2 linked regions of the Drosophila melanogaster genome follow. The protein of the gene in region 1 purifies or fractionates together with the protein of each later gene. This does not show direct contact. Each region holds a gene or a part of one and is shown in the gene's direction. Other genes may lie near its edges.

The links.
Region 2: the proteins of CG7044 (region 1) and IntS9 purify together in Drosophila melanogaster (affinity purification with western blotting; one study listed by BioGRID). This does not show direct contact.

Annotation. Positions count from the first base shown.
Region 1 is NT_033777.3:21,097,697-21,103,705, reverse strand, and holds CG7044 (uncharacterized protein), read left to right. Parts: upstream 1-1,987; 5' UTR 1,988-2,133; coding exon 2,134-2,257; intron 2,258-2,327; coding exon 2,328-2,511; intron 2,512-2,571; coding exon 2,572-3,916; intron 3,917-3,980; coding exon 3,981-4,185; intron 4,186-4,243; coding exon 4,244-4,416; intron 4,417-4,483; coding exon 4,484-5,377; 3' UTR 5,378-5,477; downstream 5,478-6,009. Other genes in the region: Tbc1d22 (TBC1 domain family member 22), read right to left, coding at 1-62, 116-284, 788-983, 1,045-1,429.
Region 2 is NT_037436.4:16,102,877-16,107,424, reverse strand, and holds IntS9 (integrator 9), read left to right. Parts: upstream 1-1,797; 5' UTR 1,798-1,861; coding exon 1,862-1,870; intron 1,871-1,931; coding exon 1,932-3,089; intron 3,090-3,146; coding exon 3,147-3,944; 3' UTR 3,945-3,991; downstream 3,992-4,548. Other genes in the region: Zn72D (Zinc-finger protein at 72D), read left to right, coding at 1-471; CG43295 (uncharacterized protein), read right to left, coding at 997-1,449, 1,523-1,573; IleRS-m (Isoleucyl-tRNA synthetase, mitochondrial), read right to left, coding at 3,992-4,548. UniProt on the Drosophila melanogaster protein: Component of the integrator complex, a multiprotein complex that terminates RNA polymerase II (Pol II) transcription in the promoter-proximal region of genes.

The DNA of each region.
Region 1 (6,009 bases):
ATCCTTCGCTCACTTGAAGGCGGAAGATACTTCGAAAGGAGTCGCCAGCTGACAGCGCGCATCTGGAGTTCGGTTTAATTAGAATTACACAACGAAATATTTGTTCGATTCTCACCTTCCGAGGCACGCCAGACCAGCTGATCTTCTTGAGGGCCACCAAGTCCAGTTGAGGCGAGTCTAGCACCACTTGGAATTTTTCAATTTTCGTCTCGTACTCGCTGTCCTGGCAATTCGAGCTGATCTTCTGCAATTGCGGTCTGCCCGGGTAGTTCCTCAATCTAGATCTGAAATGGCAATATATATTACTAACCGTTGAAGTCTTGATTACTTTCGGTCTTAGTTCCGCGTCTCCCGACATTGCTCTGTGGGAATAGCTGGGAGTGGCTATCAGTTAAGAAAGTGAAATGCTTCAGGAGCGGTTGCCAAGTTGGTGTTAATACTCGTTAAAACGTGGCGAATGGCAATAATAAGTTAGGAGCGCCCCAATGATTAACAACATATATAGGTAATTTTAACCTAATTACATAGTAATATTGTATATTGTATATTGTAAAGTACCGTTTCAAAATTTGAATCTATTGTAAGTATTTCAACTCCCATATGACGGAATTCTTCATATCTTTAGTTTCTACTTTGATAATAAACACGTTAATGCTTTTTAAATAGCACCTAGGAAATAATTCAGAAAGCGGGTTCGATCCGCTCTACACCCCTGACTTATTTGCACAACTGCAGGCATTGGGTTCAACTTTCTTTTTGACTTCCCAGTTGAGTTGGCGCCGCTCACCTGTTTTCATTACTGTCCGGCAGAGATCTACGGTCTTCCTTGCAGTCGTCCGTCGAGCTACTGCTGACTGGGACCAAATCTGCGCCACTTTCGTTTGCTGACCGGGATGCATTATGGTTCTGGTTGCTTCGAGAGTGCGTCTCGATCACGTTGAGAGCCACCGTCTGCGACACTTGCCGGGAGAAATGAGCCGCATCTGTTGGGGGATCAAAACGAGATCAGAGGTTGAGGAAAACCATCGGGGTTGCGGAACCCACCGCCAGCTCCAACGGCCGCGGCAGCCGCCTCCGTGCTGCTGATGATGCAGAACTCGTCGTCACCCATGTCCCAGGCATCGCTCACCGACTTCTGGTACTCGGTGAAGGTGGACACCATGCCAGATCCGGGGGCAGCGCCGCGACCGACCGCTACCCCAACTGCCGCCGCCTTCTCGAGCTCCCGCTTGGGACTGGGTCGTCCGGGCACTCGACGTCCGCTGTTTTTCCAAAAGGTCGAGGAGTTTGCGCCGGGCGTTGGTCCGGCTCCACTTGCCACGGTTACTACTGCTACACCTGCTCCTGCTGTTCCTGTTGCTGCTGCTGTGGACTCGGCTGTTTCAGTTTGGCTCTTTCCTGCTAATTGCTCTACATTGTTATCCATCATACGTTCCCTAGAGCCGATTCTATGTCAGCGTCATTATATTATTTTGCATCAAAAACAGTGTGACCATGGCAACTATTTACGGCTTTCACCGCACGACACTTCTTGGTAGTGATGAGAGCGTATCGTGATCAAGTGACTGGTGCGAAACCGAACCATATTGATACCCATTACTTGTGGAGAAGAGTGAACCTAGTATAGTTCCGACGAGTCGATCAAGAGATATAAATGATTAAAAATGAAAACTCGTAATTCAAGACATTTTTCTATGCAAAAGCTTTTAGAAATATGGAAAAAAGGTATGTAATTAAAAAATATTTAATAAAGACCGTAATCTTTGAGGTATAAACATAACGAAAATGTTTTGTACAGAGTTCTTCTTTCTGCAATATTAAGTAGTATAATTAGGTAATTTTAATTAATGGTAGTAATGGTATTACTTATTAGCAAAGAATAAAAGGGAAACTATGCACCGTTATATGTTTCGATGCGTGACTTTGACCGCTCACCTGGCAACCCTGGCGAATGCGCTTTGGATTTCGACTGCAAACGTACACGGCCACTCAATACAAAACAAGTGTCTTTCGGTGTGATAAGAACCAGAACCCGCAATCAACGATTTCATTATTCGGTGGATCAATTGCAAGCTCCAAAACTATGCCATAAGGGGCAGTCGCCATTTAAGCAGTCAGTGTGGAAACAGCAAGATGCAAAAGCAAGAAGAGACGCTGTCGCGCCTGCGAACGATATTCGACATATTTTTACGCGAGAACTTTTCCACTACGAACAATGTTTACTTTGAGAAGCTCCTCACGCACTTGCAGGCCAAGGGTGAGTTTACCAATCGGAGTGGCCCCGCAATCTGCCCTTAAATCCTCAAATGAATCCCATCTGTCCGCAGAGAATGCCTTTGTGCTGCAGGCCCCATTCGTGGTGGAATGGGTGGACAGGTGCATCACGGCGGTGACCGAGGACTTCAAAAAGATCCACCCGAAGGTGATATCCTTCATGCTGAATCTGACCAGTTTTCTGGCGAACAACGAGTGGATGATCGTGCGCCTAAGAGAGCTTGATATAGTAAACAGGTAAATGGTAGGATAGAAAACCAGGCTCTAATCTCTTAAAATAATCGACTACCATTTTAGAGCAGTGAAACTACTACAGAGGGAACACAACTTAAGCCCATCGATTAAGTTAGGTGGCATACGTCTGATGAAAGCCATCACCGTGTATAGCATGGGGCTGGCCTTTCTGCGGATGCACCGGATCTGGACGCTGCTCATCCAGTATTCCAACAACGATCACACGCTGTACGTGGTGCGGGAGGCCCGCCAAGTGCTTTACAACATGGTGTACAAGTCCTGCGACAAGCTGCACGATAAGGCTGTTACCCTGGAGATTCTGTCGGAGATTATGCAGCCGATTCACGACAATCTTTATAAGAACACCGACGGCGTGGAGCGCATCCACGTCAAGGTGGACGACAACGAGATGTTGCACAAGATCTCGTCGACACTGGATCTACTGTCCTACATACTACAGCAGACGCTGGTGCTCGAGGAGCGCACCACTCTGATCATCCTGCTCAAGGAGCATCACGACTTCGAGATTACCGTTTGGAAGCTGATCGATATGACCCACAACCCGTACTTTACTGAGAAGATCTTCACCACACTGAGCAGCTACAACTTTGCCCTGCTGTTGCACGAAAAGTTGCTGAATCCGAACGCCACCGAGCCGTCGGAGGAGTTCACCGAGTTCGGGTTGGCATTCTTTAATCTCATGAAATTCCTTATTACCCGCAAGGACGGCTTGAGTTTTGTGAAGTTGGCGGAGCTCAATCATGTACTTTGGAAAAAACTTGGACCTCGTGCGCCCAAGGAAATTGTCATCCAACAAGAGCGCGTTACGTTTGAAAACCAGCTAATCTGCTTTCACATGCTGCCGTTGCTCTTCTCCATGAAGTACGCACAGAAGATCGCCGACGAGGAGAGCAAGATAGAGCTCTTCGACGCCTATGTTGTCAAGTTGCTGGAGATCTCCTGCGAACAGACCTTGCGGCTCTGCTACACAATGCGGGACAACTTCTTTTCTGCAGACGGCATGGCTGTTGGCTTGGTGACGGCCGGCCTGGCAAACAAGTGCATACATAGCCTGTTGGCCCTGGAAAACGTTCTCGATCGAGAGCAGGCGGTTACTGTGTGCCAAGCTTTGCTATATGTGCTCCGCGAGGCAGTGGCCATGAGTGTCATCACAAATAATGGGGAGGATGACTGTCACAGCGTGAGCAGCGCGGGCAGCTCCTACCTAAAATTGTACCCCCGGGGCACCGAACAGGTCGTTAACGATCCACAAGTTTTGCATTCCGTAATGGTGGGTTTGCGCACCTTGATCGAACGCTTTAAGATCACGTGGAAGGAGTCGGTGGAGACCATTGGCCTGGTCAATTGTCTGGCATTTGTCCTGGAGAACACAAGCATGGATGCTAGGGTAAGCAAAACAAACTCTCATTTCTAGCGGGTTAAAATAGTAAAATGTGATTCTTCATTTGCAGTGCACTGTCCAAGCGCTGAAGCTCGTCCAACTCGCTGTGGAGCATTTCCTTTCACCGAACATGGCTCTTTTGGTGGACAACTTGCAGGGCTCCGCGCTGGTCTGTCTGGGTCCCATTATTGTGAAGCGAATGCACGACACAATGTGGGAGGTGCGTGACACAACGCTGGAGCTTACCACCTCTATAGCCAGTATCTCCCGCATCAGTAAGCGTGTGATTATCTTAACGTAGTGCCTAACATTAATGATACGTTGCTTCTACAGAGTTTCCCGCCTTCCAACGCTTTCTAATCGACTCAAAGATACCCCCGATAGTTTACGAAATGGCCAAGAATGACTCGGAAGTCTATGTAAGAGCGTCTGCCTTCCAGTGTCTTTCCCAAATGGTCTCCATAAACCTTTTGTGGGAGAATGGTCTAAGCCAGCTCGATCTTGTAGTGAGTTAATCTATTTACACATATACTCGGAAAAAATTATTAATTAAACACTTTGAATTCTCGACAGGACCATCTTTTGTTTGTAATGTATCGGGAGACCAACGATATCGTGAGATCCGAGGCCGTGATTACGCTGATGAAGATCTACGAGCACCGCAAGATCCACGAGAAGTACAAGAACACCCTCTTCTCAACCCTCAACTATTGTGTAATCGGGGATCATCACACGGAGGTGAAGCTGAATGCTTTAAATTTTTGGCGCCGCGAGTTCTACCGCCAGTTTAGCAATCAGGGCATGATAGATGGCTCTTTTCCCACAGTGACCTTCTCTAAGGAGCAGAAGAAGATTGTCACGCTGACGGAGAAAGAGATCCAAACCAGCATTGCCAAAGTTTTTGGTGAAGTACAGCAGTACGGATATTTTGGCATCCTACTCAAGTGCCTGCGCGAGGAGACTTCAATGGAGGTTTTGGAATTCCTCATTAAAGGCGTCAAGACCATGACGGAGAAGTTCGAGCGCTACAAGGGCATAATGGAGGAGATTGAAATGAGATCGCCGCTCTCAGACAGAGAGCGGCCAAGATTCGACTTCCCGTCCCAGCCGCAGCCAACTCCGATTCCACAGCAGCCACCGGTCAATCCCACCGAGGCGGACGAAGTCATCGAGTCCATATTGAACTCGCAGGATGCACAGCTCCTGGAGAAGGCGTTTGAGACCCAGATGCAGATAAACGCGCAAGGGAAAACAGCGGAGAAGCGGCACATCGATGAGTTCTACTATAAGCAGTTCGCGGTGCCATTGCGGCAGTTCTTTGAGGAGCTCAAGACCATTGACCTGGACCAGTTGGTTAAGCAGCACCAGGAGTGGTTCGAGTGCAAGGAGAACTTTACCTCCCTGCTGGATGACATCCTCGGTGCGCTGAAGCGCGACGATGAGAACATGATTTCGGACTGTTACTAATTCCGAGCTAAGCCGTTTTCCAGTCAAAAAAAACCTCTCTGTGAAGTAAGCTAAAAGTTTTTTCCGTGAAATAGATAATATTTTTGATAACTACGTTTTGAACATAAAATGAGATTTTATTTCGCCGGCGCAGATAAAATAAATAACAATACAGTAACAAAACAATGTTTTAAATGACTAAACATATTTCAAATCAAGACGACCCATATTTAAACGTTTTTGTTCCTTTTTTTAATTTTTGGTGTGCTGGTCACACTGTTCGCGTCGTGTTTGTTTTGGTTTTCTGTTGGTGGTGACACACTTTTAGAGCGATGTGAGCCGAGTTTTTATCGATGCATCCATAAGAGAAACTACTTTTTACTTCTTACAAAAATGTTGTATAAGGTAGATTTGCCAATTTTTAAAACGCAAAAACCCGAAATATAGTAAACTTCGATATTGATAACTTAGCCGATATTATCGTATGGTGTTGGGAATCGATAGTGCCGGCACCGAGCCTTCCCACTATCGACGAGCCCATCGACTGCAGCACATCTTCAGCGCATAGATGCAGCGAAAAGCGGATCGTCTCGCGTTCGAATTTGCACGCACTGCTGCATAAATATTAAAAAAGCACTGGGAACATGCAGTTG
Region 2 (4,548 bases), on another chromosome or scaffold:
TCTTCCTGGCAATCGCTGCCCCAATGGTCTTTGGAGCTCCTCGTAGAGAAGGTCATCTCGTCGGCTGGCTTTCCCATTTCGCCCGGTGACTGCATGCGTCGCATCATGGAGGCCTTATCGTCAGGCTTTCTAATCAACGGACCGGGCCTGCTGGATCCTTGCGAGAAGGACCCCACAGACGCTCTACTCGAGTTGACCAAACAGGAGCGCGAGGATCTCACTGTGTCCGCACAGCTCTTCCTGCGCTACATTGCCTTTCGACAGATTTACAAAGTGCTTGGCATGGAGCCATTGCCGGCGATGAAGTTTCCAATGCGTCCATGGCGTGTCAACCGCAAGCGACGTAGGTCATCGGGCAAGGCAGGTGGTGCACCCGGCACGGAGACCGAGTCCAATGACATCGATGAGACCGGCTCCGATGAGAAGGTGGCCAAGAAGGAGGGTGTCGGAGGCACTCCTGCCAGCACCTAAGCGGCGAGAATAGGTTATATACACGTAGTCGGCTACTAATATTACAATTTCTCTCAAGATAAAAGCGCGACCAGGCGTCACTTAACTATAACCAACTCTAATCTATACACGAGTATTCAAACCGATTGGGGCACAAGGAGCTAAGCATGTCCAACATGTTGCCCAATCGGCGATTAGTGAATCCCAAATTACCCCAACTTTAACTAACAATATTTAGTGGATCATAAAACTTGTATTTTTCTAGCATTAGTGCAAGGCAAGGCAATGTATTCAGTTTGAATGTGAACATTATGGCCCTCACACTCATATACACAAATACTAGAACGAAGCGGATTTTAATAAAACGTATTGAACAATTATAATTAAATTATTTTTTTAATAAAGATAAGCTTAATTCATTCACGTAACTGGAAATCTTAATTGGAGATAATCTAGCACTGATAATATTCTTCGCTTTATAAATAAGTTCTAATTGAAATTAATTCAAATATATATTTATATATATGATATATAATTTTTAAGGAATTACAAGAAGTCGTTCCACTTAGAGCAAATTTTCTTAGTAACTGTTGGCATATTTTCAGCGGAACGTTTAGAGGATCGTGGCCCTGTGTTCCTGGTTTTCTTAAAGTTCATAGAGATTTCGTCGGAAAGTTCATCGGTTTTCGTAGGTTTTGCTGCAGGCTTTTGAGTAGTTTCAATGGTATTATCCACATAGTTTGCCCATTTATTTGTTTTCTTCTGAGGTGTGGTGTTTTCCTCTTTTTCTTGGCAGTCTTTCTCCTCTTCGAGCTGTTGCTTTGCCGTGAGGAATAAGCCCGTGTTCAGACATTCCTCCTGCATTCCGCGCTCTAAGTTGAGATGCTGCACCTTAACCCGGCATTCCGCTGCCGATCCTCGAAAGAATTCCTTGAGCAAACTTTGCTTTTGGCGGCAAATTTTACACTGCCATGTGCTTGCCTTTTTCACGAAGTCCACCTTGTTTAAATTAGGTATATATATATAAGTAGTTATTGAGTTCTAAGATATATTTCAGTTTGTTTGCACTCACCTGGTACATTTTGCATTGAATGCATTGTACCACGCGAATTTGCTGGGACATTATTCAAATTTGCGAAAAACCAAATAAAGAGACCAGGGATGGAAACCAACAGCACTGCAACAAGTGGAGTGAAAAAAATGTGGTTGCACAAATGTTAAAGCGTGATGACTACAGTTTAACAAGTAGTAAAACATTTACCAAAATTTGTAATTAACTAATTTTGGTACCTATGGTTAATGATTTAGCCGGGTGCTGATTCCGGTTCATAAGTGAACCAAATCGTTCCCCATCCCTGGTCCAAATATAAACAAACTTGCATCGTCTAATCGGCACTGTCGGTTTAATAAAATGCGATTGGTAAGTCATCCTGAGAAGTAAATAACAACTTAATTAGCGGAAGTGACTATCCACTTTGCAGTATTGTCTCAGCGGGGACCTGGCCAAGCCATGTTATATCATTACCTTCAAGGGCCTGCGGATTATGCTGGACTGCGGTCTCACGGAGCAGACAGTCCTGAATTTCCTTCCGCTGCCCTTCGTTCAGTCACTGAAGTGGTCCAATCTGCCCAACTTCGTGCCCAGTCGGGATCATGATCCCCAAATGGATGGCGAGTTGAAGGACTGCTGTGGCCGGGTTTTCGTGGACTCGACGCCCGAGTTTAATCTACCCATGGACAAAATGCTGGATTTCAGCGAAGTGGATGTGATACTTATCTCGAATTATCTTAATATGCTGGCCTTGCCGTATATCACGGAAAACACGGGGTTCAAGGGCAAAGTCTATGCCACGGAGCCAACGCTGCAGATCGGCCGATTTTTCCTGGAGGAGCTGGTGGACTATATCGAAGTGTCGCCCAAGGCGTGCACCGCGCGCTTGTGGAAGGAGAAGCTTCATCTGCTGCCCAGTCCCTTGAGCGAAGCCTTTCGCGCCAAGAAGTGGCGCACTATCTTTAGTCTTAAGGATGTCCAAGGCAGTCTGTCCAAGGTGACCATCATGGGCTACGACGAGAAGCTGGACATCCTCGGAGCTTTTATCGCCACTCCTGTCAGCTCGGGCTACTGCCTGGGCTCGAGCAACTGGGTACTGAGCACGGCGCATGAAAAGATTTGCTATGTCAGTGGTTCCTCCACGTTGACCACACATCCGCGGCCCATCAATCAGTCGGCGCTGAAGCACGCCGATGTACTCATTATGACCGGACTGACGCAGGCGCCGACGGTAAATCCGGACACGAAGCTGGGCGAGCTCTGCATGAATGTGGCCTTGACGATCCGCAACAATGGGTCTGCCTTGATTCCCTGTTATCCTTCGGGCGTTGTCTATGACCTCTTTGAGTGCCTCACCCAGAATTTGGAAAACGCTGGCCTAAACAATGTTCCCATGTTCTTTATTTCCCCTGTGGCAGACAGCTCCTTGGCGTATTCTAATATCCTGGCCGAGTGGCTTAGTTCCGCCAAGCAGAACAAAGTGTATCTTCCAGACGATCCTTTCCCACATGCCTTTTACCTTCGCAACAACAAGCTGAAGCACTATAACCATGTGTTCTCCGAGGGCTTTAGCAAGGACTTCCGGCAGGTTTGTCTAACATAATTGTGAAAACTTCATACTACAAATTCTCTGTCTTCCTTACAGCCCTGCGTGGTCTTTTGTGGCCATCCTAGCTTGCGTTTCGGCGACGCTGTTCACTTTATCGAGATGTGGGGCAATAACCCTAACAACTCCATCATATTCACGGAGCCGGACTTTCCGTATCTGCAAGTACTGGCGCCCTTCCAACCACTGGCCATGAAGGCTTTTTACTGTCCCATCGACACCTCTTTGAATTATCAGCAGGCAAATAAGCTGATCAAGGAGTTGAAACCAAATGTGCTTGTCATCCCAGAGGCATACACAAAACCACATCCCTCGGCCCCAAATTTGTTCATTGAACAGCCGGATAAGAAGATAATAACGTTCAAGTGCGGCGAGATCATACGTCTGCCATTAAAACGGAAGCTGGATCGAATTTACATTACCTCGGAACTGGCCCAAAAGATATCGCCAAAGGAGGTGGCGGCCGGCGTGACCTTCTCCACATTGACAGGAGTTTTGCAAGTTAAGGACAAGGTCCACTGCATCCAGCCATGTGCGGATAGCGTTAAAGACGAGACCATCTCGAGCAACAGCGCTCCGACAAAGGAGGATGTGCTGAAGAACGTCAAATACGAGTATGGCAGCATTGATGTAGATGCAGTGATGAAGAAGCTGGCACAGGATGGCTTCTCCAACATCAAGCTAGACCGCACTGGCGGCGCTCTGACTCTGAACCTTGTCAATGAGGACACAGTCATTAAGTTCGAGGACAACGAGACGCATATTATCTGCGGCGGAAAGCCAACAACCCGGCTCAAGCTGCGAGACACCATCATGAAATGCTTACAGAGTTTTTAAAAACATAAATGTATTCCTTACACCTAAATAACAACACATCATTACGCTTAGTTCTTTGCCTCCATAACGTCAGAGCAACGTTGACACGTTTTCTGCTCATCCTCCAGACCATAGCGACGACAACGTGGGCACAGTGATATCTGAAGTTTACTTAAAGCAATATCCAAGTCGCTATTATGGGACTGTAAGAGCGTAACTGACCCCACTTGCAATATCTCGCATAATTCAGAATTGCTCACAGACTCTCCAAGAGGGCTGTGAAGTTCTCGCAGCAAATCCAGCTGGCTTCTTTCCTTTCCTTTGATGGTCACGGCCAAGTGCCAGGTGTTAACATCTCCAGCCTGTTGGTTAATAAGTCGTTTAACATCGAACGCTGCATTAATCACTTCAGTGGCTTTGGTGTCCTGCCATTCAGGATTAGTCTGAACAATTTGCTCGTGGAATGCACCACCTGTGGTGTCATAGTAGCTCCAGCTTTCCTCCACCAGGAAGGGAACAATGGGCCATAAGCTCTTGCAGAGTTGTTGATAGCAGTGGGTAAGAGTTTGACGAATGGCCAGTAGCTCGTGATCATCACCACAATAAAGACGATCCTTGATGAGAT